Linked DNA regions of Canis lupus familiaris. The protein of the gene in region 1 purifies or fractionates together with the protein of each later gene. This does not show direct contact. Links are inferred from orthologs where the notes say so. Each region holds a gene or a part of one and is shown in the gene's direction. Other genes may lie near its edges.

Region 1 (4,371 bases):
GAAGAAGGATCCTTAATTGCAATGGATAGCATTCTTTGCTGAGAATAAGAGTTCTGTACACCCACATACGTCTTATTTACTTCCCCATCTCAATCTTGGAAACACTGTCTTCCTCTTGCCAGGACAAAAAAAAAATGAGGTAAAAATCTCCTGATACTTCAACACAGACAGGAGAGGCCCAAGAATCAAAAAAAAATAAAAATAAAAATAAAAAAAAAAGGGTGCGTCCATGTGTGCCTTTATCTCTGCAAGTTTGTTTGTTTTTGCATTTATGAGTAATTTCTCAGGAGTCAGGTCCTTAAGGCATCTCATGCCAGGTTGGGGGGAGGGGGGAATCTGACAAATGACAATAAAGAGTGATCAGTCAGGGTCTCTTTTAGCTTGAATACAGTGATCCTTTTGTCTTCTTTCCTCACTGGGATTTCTAAAATAAAGGGCTTAGAAAAACACTTTTAAAAGATACGGAAACTCTTCCTTCAAACAGGAATGCAGCCATCTCTTTACTGACACTTTGATCATATAAACAAGAGAACTTTTAACTCGGCTGTGAGGAGTGTGGGCTACGGATTTAGAGATGCGCCTCTGATTTGGTGAGTTGCAGAGGGGATGAAGACAAGGAAGAGTGCAAGCAGCTGAGGAGGAAAGTGAAACGAGGGAAGCATCTTGTTTCAAGTACATACCTTACTAAAAGAGTAATATATTGGTAACTGGGGGAATAGAAACAAAGTGTTCCCCCAACTTTGCAGGTAGAAACTGAAGAGATGAGGGGGAAAGGAACAGGATGTGAACACGCCCTGATTCCGTTCCAGGGAGAACAGAGCGAACGGAGAGAGAGGGTACAGGGGCTTCCAGGTTCGGGGGCGCCGGAAAGGGAGCGCGAAAGCCGAGCAGCGCCCCGGACCGCTGCCCACCCACGACGGAGAAGAGCTTTACAATTTGTGACAAGTTCCCCTTTCTGTCACGGTATTTAGGGGTTTGGATAGAGACCCGGGGGCAAGAGAAAGACAAAGGGGCTCTTCCTCAACAGTCACACCAAAGCTCCCTGGCCTCTGCCCCAATTCTGAAGTATTCTTGGAGTTAAGGGATTATTTTTCACCGGACTTGCGACTTGTGAGCCGGAAATAAACGGTCGCCTCTAAATTTATTGCACTGGCTGAGGTTAGGCACGAAATTCCCACATAAGCACATTTTCTTTTCGCTTCAAACGCTGCTCCCACCCCAGAAGCATCTGCACCCGCCCCCCGACGGCCACCCCCCGTGATAAATGCTAGGGTCCGCGAGGGCCCGCTCCCTCCGGGCTTCCCCTGGGCGTCCTCGGGCGGAGGGAGGCGGCCCCGCAGCCCCTCCGCTCCCTCCTCCCGGCGAGGCTGCCGTGCACAACAACCATTTTCCCCGCCAGGAGCACACCGTGTCCACGCGCCGCTGCGGCCTCGCTGATTGGTTGGGCTCCTGGTAAACAAGGGGCGGGCAGCCAATGGGAGGGCTGTGCACGAGGGCAGCACGAGCCTCAGGGCTAGCGCTCGCGTGGCCGGGCGAGCCCGGGCGACTATATAAAGCAGTTTCCGGCTGCTCCCCGCAACTCTCCTTCCGTCTCCTCTGGCGGGGTGGGCCGTTCGGGCTCTCCTAGAGTCGGGGCGCTCCTCCAGCTGTCGGAGAAAAGAACAGAAAGCTGATTTTTTTTTTTTTTCCCCCGGGGATCCTTCGGCATCACCCACAGCTTACATTTTTTTCCAAAATCTTTTTGAAATCTTAGCGGAGAGTTGAAGAGTGAAATAATTTTTTTGCAGAGCATTTTTGGATTTGGAGTTTTGTTTTTTCTCTCCCCCCCGTTTATAACTGTCAAGGCAGCCCAGCCAATCATGGTGATGTTCAAGAAAATCAAGTCTTTTGAGGTGGTCTTTAACGACCCTGAAAAGGTGTATGGCAGCGGGGAGAAAGTGGCCGGCCGGGTGGTCGTGGAGGTGTGCGAAGTGACTCGAGTTAAAGCTGTCAGGATCCTGGCTTGCGGAGTGGCCAAAGTCCTGTGGATGCAGGGATCCCAACAGTGCAAACAGACCTCTGAATACCTGCGCTTCGAAGACACGCTTCTCCTGGAAGACCAGCCAACAGGTGAGTGGCCCCGTTGTTTGTCGGGAGGGTGAAAGCTGATTTGAGAATAGAGTTGAAACGAATGCTTGCAGCTTATGCTGAATATTTCAAGCTGCTAAGGTTGAGTAGCTTGACTTGTATGTTGTTTCCTTTTTTAGTTTTAACTTGCAGACTCCTAAAAAAAGGGGGGGGGTGATTTGTACAGTTTCTTACAGTGTTCTGTTCTGAAGGTGATCCTGAGGTATGCTGCCTTAACTATTTAAAGGTTTTCTGTGTGCATAAGTTGCATATTCTTCGCTCGTTTCCGGTTTGAGAGGGTAGTAGCTTCACTGCCCTGGTTGAGCCTTTCATCATTGCAAGGCTTTGAAACTTTTTGCCCAACGAAATGCATCAGGATCTCTCAAGAACAGAAGGGGGTGAAAATAGGGGACCTGCAATAGACTTGCATGCTGCCCAGGAATTCCTTATCACACAGATGCATTTGAAGTGAAACAAGAAACCTGATGGGCTATTCTTTCTTCTTTCTTCTCAGGTGAGAATGAGATGGTGATCATGAGACCTGGAAACAAATACGAGTACAAGTTCGGCTTTGAGCTTCCTCAGGGGTAGGTGTCTACTAAATGCATCTTTGGACTTTCTTATCTCTAAAATTCGCCACCTTTGATCACCTGTTCTTGGAGAACAGTTTTAGATTGCTTCTTTTTTCTTGACACAGGCCTTTGGGAACATCTTTCAAAGGAAAATATGGGTGTGTAGACTACTGGGTGAAGGCTTTTCTTGATCGCCCCAGCCAGCCAACTCAAGAGACAAAGAAATTCTTTGAAGTGATGGATTTAGTGGATGTCAACACTCCTGATTTAATGGTGAGGTTCATTTAAAAATTATGTTTTCTTGGGTTTCGGGGATGGTAAGTCGTAAGTCAAGTGTCTTAGGCATTAGACTGATGTACCTCAGGGGATCCAGTCCTAAATGGATTACCAAGGTGGGAGGGAAAGTTGCCTATTCTAGGTAAGGAGTAGAAAGAAAAAAGAGAAGGATCTCTAGAAAGTCTCAAAATGTCTTTTTACCCCTATTTAACACAGGCTCCTGTGTCTGCTAAAAAGGAGAAGAAAGTTTCCTGCATGTTTATTCCTGATGGACAAGTGTCTGTCTCTGCCCGAATTGACAGAAAAGGATTTTGTGAAGGTAAAAACTTAATTAAAAAGGTAGTCTGATAAAACAGGAACTGTGGGTTTGGGAGTGAGGGCAGGCTATAGGGGTAGAAGTCCTTAATTGTATTAAGCGTCAGCTAATAAGTTTTTGTCTTTATCATTGTTAGGTGATGAAATTTCCATCCATGCTGACTTTGAAAATACATGTTCGCGCATCATGGTTCCCAAAGCTGCCATAGTAGCACGCCACACTTACCTTGCCAATGGTCAAACCAAAGTGCTGACACAGAAGTTGTCATCTGTCAGAGGCAATCACATCATTTCAGGAACCTGTGCATCGTGGCGTGGCAAGAGCCTTCGGGTGCAAAAGATCAGGCCTTCTATCCTGGGCTGCAACATCCTTCGAGTTGAATACTCCTTATTGGTGAGTGAATGGAGTCCAAGAAATTGTTCATCTGTCAAAATAGTCATTTCTCCAAACCTCTAGTCTAACTAACTGTCATTTTTCCTTTCTAGATCTATGTTAGTGTTCCTGGCTCCAAGAAGGTCATCCTTGATCTGCCCCTGGTAATCGGTAGCAGATCAGGTCTGAGCAGTCGGACATCGAGCATGGCCAGTCGAACCAGCTCTGAAATGAGTTGGATAGATCTCAATATTCCCGATACCCCAGAAGGTGAGCCAGACCTAATGTTTTTTCTTCCTTTTTGACCTGCTTGGGTTTGTGAAATTGTGACGGTCAGGCATTTCTTGGCCAAACTTCTTATGCCTATGTTTTCTCTAGCTCCTCCTTGCTATATGGATATCATTCCTGAAGATCACCGATTGGAGAGCCCCACTACTCCTCTACTAGATGACACAGATGGTTCCCAAGACAGCCCTATTTTTATGTATGCTCCTGAGTTCAAGTTCATGCCACCACCGACTTACACAGAGGTGATCATTGCCATTTTACAAATTGTCCTCTAAGCCTCTTACAGGAAGTTGAATGGGAAGGACTGCTAAACTGGGTGGTTGTTTTAGTTCTTACCCAAACTAAAATAATCGTTTCTTTTGTTTCTCTTCCCCCCACTCCAGGTGGATCCCTCCATCCTCAACAACAATGTGCAGTGAACTTGTGGAAGAAAAGAAGCAG
Region 2 (4,199 bases), on another chromosome or scaffold:
TGCAATGGATGCTATCTGCACAGAGAAACGGACCCGCTTCCAGTGCTGCCCCCTGGTCGTGGACTCTCATCCCTCCTGCTCTAGGCCCCATGCTGGCCCGAAGAGCTGACCTCCTCTCCCTCACCACGCTTGCTCTATGTACACGGGCCATCATCACACTGTGGTCCTGCAGCCGCCACACGTGCCTGGAAACACGGTCCGGGTGCTGCTTGGTCCTCTGGCTCCTCTGGGGCAAAGCAAGGCATCCCTCCAGGCTGGCATTCTTGCCTGGCACCCACTGGGCGCTCCGTAAGTGCTCACAGACTAAGTGAGTCCATGAGTCTAGGAGCAGGGTTTGTGTCTGCCCCAAGGAATTGAACTTAGGATCTCGGAGAGATGTCCACACTCCCATGTCCGCTGTGGTATTATTCAAAAAGGTCAGATACGGAGACAAGCTAAGTGTCCACAAGTGGAAGAAAGGGTGAAGACGGTAGGTACACATGTCTACACCACATGCCATGGGGATTATTCGGCCACGGGGAAAAAGGACATGCTGCCATTTGCAACAACGTGGGTGGAGCTGGAGGACGTGAAGTGTGTAATATCACTGTACGTAGACTCCAAGTTCGTCGGAGTCACAGAGACAGAGAGTGCAGGGTCAGGGGCCCGGGGCTGGGAGGGGGCAGTGGGAGGTATCGGTTGGGGGCACGCAGGCTGTGACGCCAGAGGACTAAGTCCTGGAGATGGGCATATGGCGCTGTGCCCACAGCTGGTCATTCTCTGCTGTGCTTGGAATACTTGCCAAAGGGCAGGTCTTGTATTAAGGGTTCTCACCATACACACAGAACAGCATTAAAACAGCAACAATAATAAAGGGGCGGGAGGAGACTTTGGGAGGTGATGAGCATGGCCTCGGCAGAGGTGAGGTTCTCACAGGCGTATCCTCAATTCAGAAAAGCAGTTGAGGACGTTGACAGGTGGTGCACAGAGCCTTTGCCGGCCAGCAGACTGTGCCTGATGGCTGGAGGGCCAGGCATGCTCCTGATGCTCTACTTGCCAGGCCCGGGGGGTCCCCTGCCCCACTGTGCTCACTACCTTCACAGCCCTCTCATGGCCGCTGGGACGCCCACGGGGACACCCCGCCTCAGGGGCCCCCGAGAGCACGGCAGACGTCTCTGGCTATGGCCGAGATAAGCACGCTGCTCACTGGTGTGGAAAATCCACAATATGAGTAACTGTTAGTCTCCAACCTGGTGATGCAAGCTTGTTCACTCCATGCTGAGGCCACATCCTTCCTGCCCTGCTGGGCTGTGACCACTATAAATTCATCAAGTTTCCTCTTGGGCTGTTTCTGAGGCTGGTGTCCGGGTGAGTCCAACTCTGTGGAGCTGCATGGCTGCAAGAGTGTGGGGAGAATGAGGAGGGGCCATGGAGAGCCGGGGGTGTCCTGTTTAGCACACTAGGGATTCTCCGGCCAGCTTCCAAGCCTGCCCTTCCACAATTCTGGAAAACCCTTTTTTGTTTTTCATTACTGGGTCCTAGGCTTGTGTGCAAGTGTGTGCGTAGGGACTGGGGAGTGGGGGGGGGGGCAGGTAGGGACAGCCACCACAGCTCACACCCACCCTTGGGGCGGATTTGCCCAGCATCCCCCCAGGGAGTGGATGGAGGGGATGTGGTGGGGATGTGGACGTCCTAGACACCGCAGGACACAGAAGGCAAAGGTCAGGGTAGAACGCATGGGGCTTAGAGGCTGGGGGGCACAGAGGAGCCGTAGAGTCCTGATGTGGATGGCAAGGCCGACCGGGGTCCTGGGATGGTCCACAAAACAGGTGGGTCTACCTGGACATGCCCAGCCCACCGCCAAACGCATGAGGAACGGATTTGGTGGGTGCGTGGAGCCAGGAGTGCAGGGCAAGATGAAGGCACAGGGGAGGCAAGCATGCTTCAGGCATTGTGCACACACACTCTCTCCTGCAGTCCCACCCTTCCTCTCCCTCCTGTTAGCGACCCTCATTCATGGCCTTGGGTTGATGTTGTGCTTTCCCAAACTCAGTCATGTGGCGGGATGGATCCCAAACAAAGCCAACATGCTTATCAGCCCAAATCTTGGAGACGCAGAAGAGCAAGGACACAGCAGCTGAACTTTGCTCTATGTGGAACTCTGCATCCCTGTAGAAAAGCTGAGACCCTGAGCTCTAAAAAATGGTGGGCTGTGCGTGGAAAATGCTGGGAAAGTGGTTTGTTTTTGTTTTTTGCCTTTTAACCACCTATTTTATTGTCTTTGTTCTTTTCTATGTTTTTCTGAGATACCTCGTTAAGTGATGGAAGAAAGAATCACATGCTTTTTCTTGCTATGAAAATTAGTATTTAGGGACATGAACTCAGAAATCAGTGCCCCTGACCTAAATCCTGGCTTTGAACCCTTTTTTTTTTCTGCGAAACCCTGGGCAAGTCACTTAGTTTCTGCTAAGATTCAGTTCCTCTTCTGTAAAATGGGCCTAAGCATATGTGCACCTCCTAGGGCTTCGGGAGAGTTAGATGCACAGCACATGAGTGCGGCACCTAGGCTGCGAGAGGCTCTCAGTCCCCGTGGGCTCTAATGATGATCACAATTGTGAATGTTGAAGGACACCTCAGGGAGATGTATGTGGTCATCACCTCCCCCTACGCACCTCGAGCGTCACCCACTCATCGCTATCGATCAATAGATGGATGGATGTGCAATTGGAGACCTCCCCTGTCCAGGCGCGTCTGTCTTCTTCCTCCGTCCAGCCATGTGCTGCTCTGTTACTACCGTACTTACTCATTTCCGGGGTCAAAACAGAAATAGGGAACCAGAGCCTTTCCAATGGAAGGAACTTAAAAGCCATATTTTCCATTCTGTCATTTTATAGATGAAGAAACAGAAGCTGAGGAAGACTTTGCCCCAGGCCATTCCTCAGTAACTAGTGAGAACAAAGTTCTCCCTGTGGTGCACTGTGGTGGCTTAAGGCTGCAGGTTGGGCTCACAGTATTATCGACATGGTTCCCTGTGCGGGTTTAACCTCTGTTTCTCTCCAGAGGGACACTGTTCTTCCATGGCTCAGGACAGACTCCTGAGTTGAGCCAACAGGAAAACGTTCTGGTGAGTATTTGGGTCATTTTTCAAAACCTCATTATGGTTCAATTCTCTATTTTTTCTCCTTATGTTCTGGGTTTTTCGTGGGTTCATTCTCTTTCAAGAGGGCAGACTTTTAGGAAGATTCTGCTTACCCATGTGCTGTTTTCATCATCCAGCTTCCTGGAGTGGACCTATGCCCAAGGGCCCTGAGCCAAGCTGCAGAGGAGCATGGCAAGCGTCCGCTGCAAGCTGGCTCGTTACCTGGAGGACCTGGAAGATGCAGACTTTAAGAAATTCAAGATGCACTTACAAGACTACCCTTCTCAGAAAGGGTTCAGCCCTCTCCCTCGGAGTCAGACAGAGAAAGCTGACCACATGGATCTGGCTACTCTGATGATCGACTTCAATGGTGAGGAGAAGGCATGGGCCATGGCAGTGTGGATTTTTGCTGCAATCAACAGAAGAGACCTTTATGAGAAAGCTAAGAGGGATGAGCTGGAGTGGGGTGAGTGGAAGATAGACAGCATTTTAAAAAATCGTGATAAGATACACGTGACATACAATTACCGTCTTAGCCATTTCAAAGCTATGGTTCAGCAGCATTAAACACATTCACATTGCGCAATCAATCTCCACAACTTTTCTTTGTCTTGCAAAACTCTGTACCCATTAGACAACAATTCCTGTCCCCCTCCCCTAAGCACCTGGAACTACCACCTTCTATCCTTAAGAATTTGGCTACTCTTAGTACGGCTTATGAACAGCTTCATAAAGTATTTGTCTGTTTGTGGCTAGCTTACTTTATGAAGCATAATGTCCTCAAGCCTCATCCATGTGGTCACATACAACATTATTTCATTCTTTTTCAAGGTGGGATAATATTCCAGGGTATGTGTATGCCAAATTTTGTTCATCTATTCACCCATTAGTGGACATTTGGATTGCTGTTAGCTTTTGATTATTTTGAACAATGCTGCTAAGAACACGAGGGTACAAACCTCTTTGAGACCCTGCTTTCAATTCTTTGCGGGATGTGTTCAGAAGTGGAATTATTGTATTATATGATGACTCTAGGTTTCATTCTTTGAGGAGCCACCATGATGTTTTCCATAGTGGCTGC
Region 3 (3,143 bases), on another chromosome or scaffold:
TGGGCTGGCTCTGCTTGCCCCTGTTGTCTGCAGGTGTGATGAGAGTCTGTCCCAAGGTCACGGTTGCTCTTGGGGAGAAGGGGTAGGTAGTTGGGCTTTGGCGTGGAGCATCCAAGAGCCTGCCTGGGCAGTGTCCTAAGAAGACCAAACACCTTTGGCGTGCCTCTTCCTCCGCAGGCTCTGTACCATGGAAAGTTCATCGACACAGGCTTCACCCTCCCGTTCTATAAGCGAATGCTCAACAAGAGACCAACCCTGAAAGACCTGGAATCGATCGACCCCGAATTCTACAACTCTATTGTCTGGATCAAGTGAGTCCTCTCCCCCGCGCCGTGCTGGGAGGACAGGGGTCTCTGGTTGGGGAGGAGGCATCGCTGGCCTGTGTTTTCTCTGCTGGAGTGGCCCTGAGCGCATACCAGCTGTGTAAGTGCTGGTGGAGATACGCAGCTCCTCGGTTTCCCTGTGGGACAGCTCCAGAATTCTCCCCGTGGTCAGGGGGAGGTCCCAGGCCACTGTCTGGATTCAGGCTGCGGGTCCTGGCATCCTCTGAGCGCTGATGCACCTGACAGAGTGGGATGAGGGGAGACCCTTCTAAGGTAGACGTTTTCCCTTTCGGTCTCTTGTGCCCCCAGAGAGAACAACCTGGAAGAGTGTGGTCTGGAGCTCTACTTCATCCAGGACATGGAGATCCTGGGCAAGGTGACAACCCACGAGCTAAAGGAAGGCGGGGAAAGCATCCGAGTGACAGAGGAGAACAAGGAAGAGTACATCATGTGAGTATCCCGGGGGCCAGGGGGCGGGAGCAGAGCCACCCTCGGTCCTGGGGCGTGCTCCAGCCAGGCCCCCCCTATTTCACCAGGGGCACGGCCGCCGCCCCTGTGGCATCGGCACATGAGGGCTGCCCACGGCCTGTCCCACGCTGACCGGAGCCCCTGGCCACCCGGAAGAGCTGCCGTTTGCTCTCTTTCCCCCACGTGCAAGGCTTCAAGACTGCAGGGCTTTGAAGAGGCAGGAAGCTTCGATATCTCCCTTTCCTTTCTCTGGCAGAGAGGATTTCTGTGTCCGTGTGTCTGAGCCCATCCTTGCATGTGTGTCTGTGTGCAAACTCACCCACGTGCCTTCTCCAGGTCTCTCGGTCTAGTCTCCTGACCTCCACGTTTGTGAAGTTCAGTCAGCAGTGGTGGGATGGGGAGGAAGCGGTGGGATGTCAGAGGTTCAGCTGTCTCCCACTGCCCTGGCTGCTCCCAAGGCCGATGCGGAGTGGGTCTGGGTGTGTGCCACGCGGCCTCTGGGCTGATATCTCACGGCTGTGTGACCGTGGCCCGGTGGCCGGCCCGAGCTGTGCCTGAGCAGTGGGCCTTGGCTCCCCTGACAGCGCACCTTCGGTTTTAGGCTGCTGACCGACTGGCGTTTCACCCGGGGCGTGGAAGAGCAGACCAAAGCCTTCCTGGACGGCTTCAACGAGGTGGCCCCCCTGGAGTGGTTGCGCTACTTTGATGAGAAAGAGCTGGAGGTGAGAGCTGAGGTCCCCGGGACCCTGAGCCTCTGCCTCTGGGGCAGTCGTGCCCGTTGCTGGCAAACCGTGGTTCTGCAGAAACCCGCCAGTAAAACTTCACCTTCCCTCTGGATGGAGGCGGCAGGGCGGATAGTTGTGATTTGATCTCTCAAATCTGTTCCTCCCCTGGTCCTGGTTTTGAGGGGGTCCATGCTCAAGACTCCTATCACCCATATTACTCCCACTGCCAGCAGAAATAGATGAAAATGTTTGGGGCGATTCCACCTGCTGGTGAGTGGGTGAGGCGCTGTGCACCTGTGGGGAGGGGGTGGGCCTGGGGCTGCTGACACCTGTCCCCCTGCAGCTGATGCTGTGCGGCATGCAGGAGATAGACATGAGCGACTGGCAAAAGAACACTATTTATCGGCACTACACCAAGAACAGCAAGCAGATCCAGTGGTTCTGGCAGGTAGGTCCTGGGACCCGTCCCGGCCGAGTTGGGCTAAGGGTCTTGGAAGGGATATTTTAGTGGTCAGCCACAGGAAAGAGGCCTGATTAGATCCCAGGCTCCTGGACACATGTTGGGGGGTCACCTCCCTCATCTTTGGCACTTTCCTCCATTGGTGGGAGGAGAAGAGGAACCCAGCCTTGGGGTGAACAGAGCTGTTGCAGCTGGGTTGTGGCCAGTGCACCTGACGGGACGTGTTAGTGGTCAGCCGATGTGTGCGGGAAGGAAAGCACCAGGCCGTGTGGTTTCCTGCCAGCCTGGGGGTGGAGGGACAGGACAGCACGTGCTGGTCTCCAGAGAAACTGAATGAGCTCGGAGTCCTGGATATAATGAATTGATTCTTCCAAATGTGAGATCTTGTCGTTTCCCTTATGAAGTATAGCATACGTGAGAAAGAGAAGGTATATAAAAATCTCTTTTTGAAGGCAAAATTCCCATCCCATAAGATTCACAATGTGAAGCATTTTAAGGTATTACGGTTCATTGGTCTTTCACATTGGTCTTTCATTACCACCATCTAATTCCAGAACATTACATCTCCCCGCCAAAAGAAACTCCATACCCATTAAGCAATCACTTCCATCCTTACTATATGTTTAAAAGCAGAACTTGGCTGGGAAAAGAATACCTGGCTCGGGGTGCCCCGGAGCCCCAGAGATGTCCCATGGGTTGGTGGGAATGTCCTACAAACTCAGCCTCTCAGATGGAGCAGCTTTGGGGTTTCCAAGGCTGGTGGCTGTAGCCCCCGACCCCAACCCGGGCTTTGTGTTCTCAGCCCCAAAGAGGGGTCCTGGCTGATGGGAGTCACAGGTTAGGGCGAGGTTTGGGGTCAAGTGGGTAGCCTGGCTCTGCTCTGACTGGCGGAGTTCTAGGTGGTAAAGGAGATGGACAACGAGAAGAGGATCCGGCTGCTGCAGTTCGTCACTGGGACTTGCCGCCTGCCCGTTGGCGGCTTTGCTGAGCTCATTGGTAGGTCTTCCCTTGCCTTGCTGGCGCCCTAGGGTGGGCCTGAGGGCAGTGGCTCGGGTGAGTCAGTGGGTGAGGCCTGAGGCTCCTGTGGGTGGAGCCGGGGCCCTGCCCTACGAAGGGGCCGTCCTTTGTATATGAAGAGCTTCTCTTCGGATACAGGGAGCAACGGAC

The links.
Region 2: the proteins of TXNIP (region 1) and NLRP3 purify together in Homo sapiens (affinity purification with western blotting, with the first as the bait; 4 studies listed by BioGRID). This does not show direct contact. The link is inferred for Canis lupus familiaris from reciprocal best matches to the Homo sapiens genes TXNIP and NLRP3.
Region 3: the proteins of TXNIP (region 1) and WWP2 purify together in Homo sapiens (affinity purification with mass spectrometry; 3 studies listed by BioGRID and IntAct, with this or other methods). This does not show direct contact. The link is inferred for Canis lupus familiaris from reciprocal best matches to the Homo sapiens genes TXNIP and WWP2.

Annotation. Positions count from the first base shown.
Region 1 is NC_049238.1:59,434,006-59,438,376, reverse strand, and holds the start of TXNIP (thioredoxin-interacting protein), read left to right. Parts: upstream 1-1,570; 5' UTR 1,571-1,859; coding exon 1,860-2,109; intron 2,110-2,620; coding exon 2,621-2,693; intron 2,694-2,803; coding exon 2,804-2,951; intron 2,952-3,170; coding exon 3,171-3,273; intron 3,274-3,406; coding exon 3,407-3,663; intron 3,664-3,755; coding exon 3,756-3,912; intron 3,913-4,020; coding exon 4,021-4,172; intron 4,173-4,313; coding exon 4,314-4,349; 3' UTR 4,350-4,371. UniProt on the Homo sapiens protein: May act as an oxidative stress mediator by inhibiting thioredoxin activity or by limiting its bioavailability.
Region 2 is NC_049229.1:335,764-339,962, forward strand, and holds the start of NLRP3 (NACHT, LRR and PYD domains-containing protein 3), read left to right. Parts: upstream 1-1,262; 5' UTR 1,263-1,347; intron 1,348-2,873; 5' UTR 2,874-3,103; intron 3,104-3,255; 5' UTR 3,256-3,307; coding exon 3,308-3,584; intron 3,585-4,199. UniProt on the Homo sapiens protein: Sensor component of the NLRP3 inflammasome, which mediates inflammasome activation in response to defects in membrane integrity, leading to secretion of inflammatory cytokines IL1B and IL18 and pyroptosis.
Region 3 is NC_049226.1:80,389,084-80,392,226, reverse strand, and holds part of WWP2 (NEDD4-like E3 ubiquitin-protein ligase WWP2), read left to right. Parts: intron 1-177; coding exon 178-311; intron 312-632; coding exon 633-773; intron 774-1,392; coding exon 1,393-1,513; intron 1,514-1,859; coding exon 1,860-1,964; intron 1,965-2,875; coding exon 2,876-2,972; intron 2,973-3,131; coding exon 3,132-3,143. UniProt on the Homo sapiens protein: E3 ubiquitin-protein ligase which accepts ubiquitin from an E2 ubiquitin-conjugating enzyme in the form of a thioester and then directly transfers the ubiquitin to targeted substrates.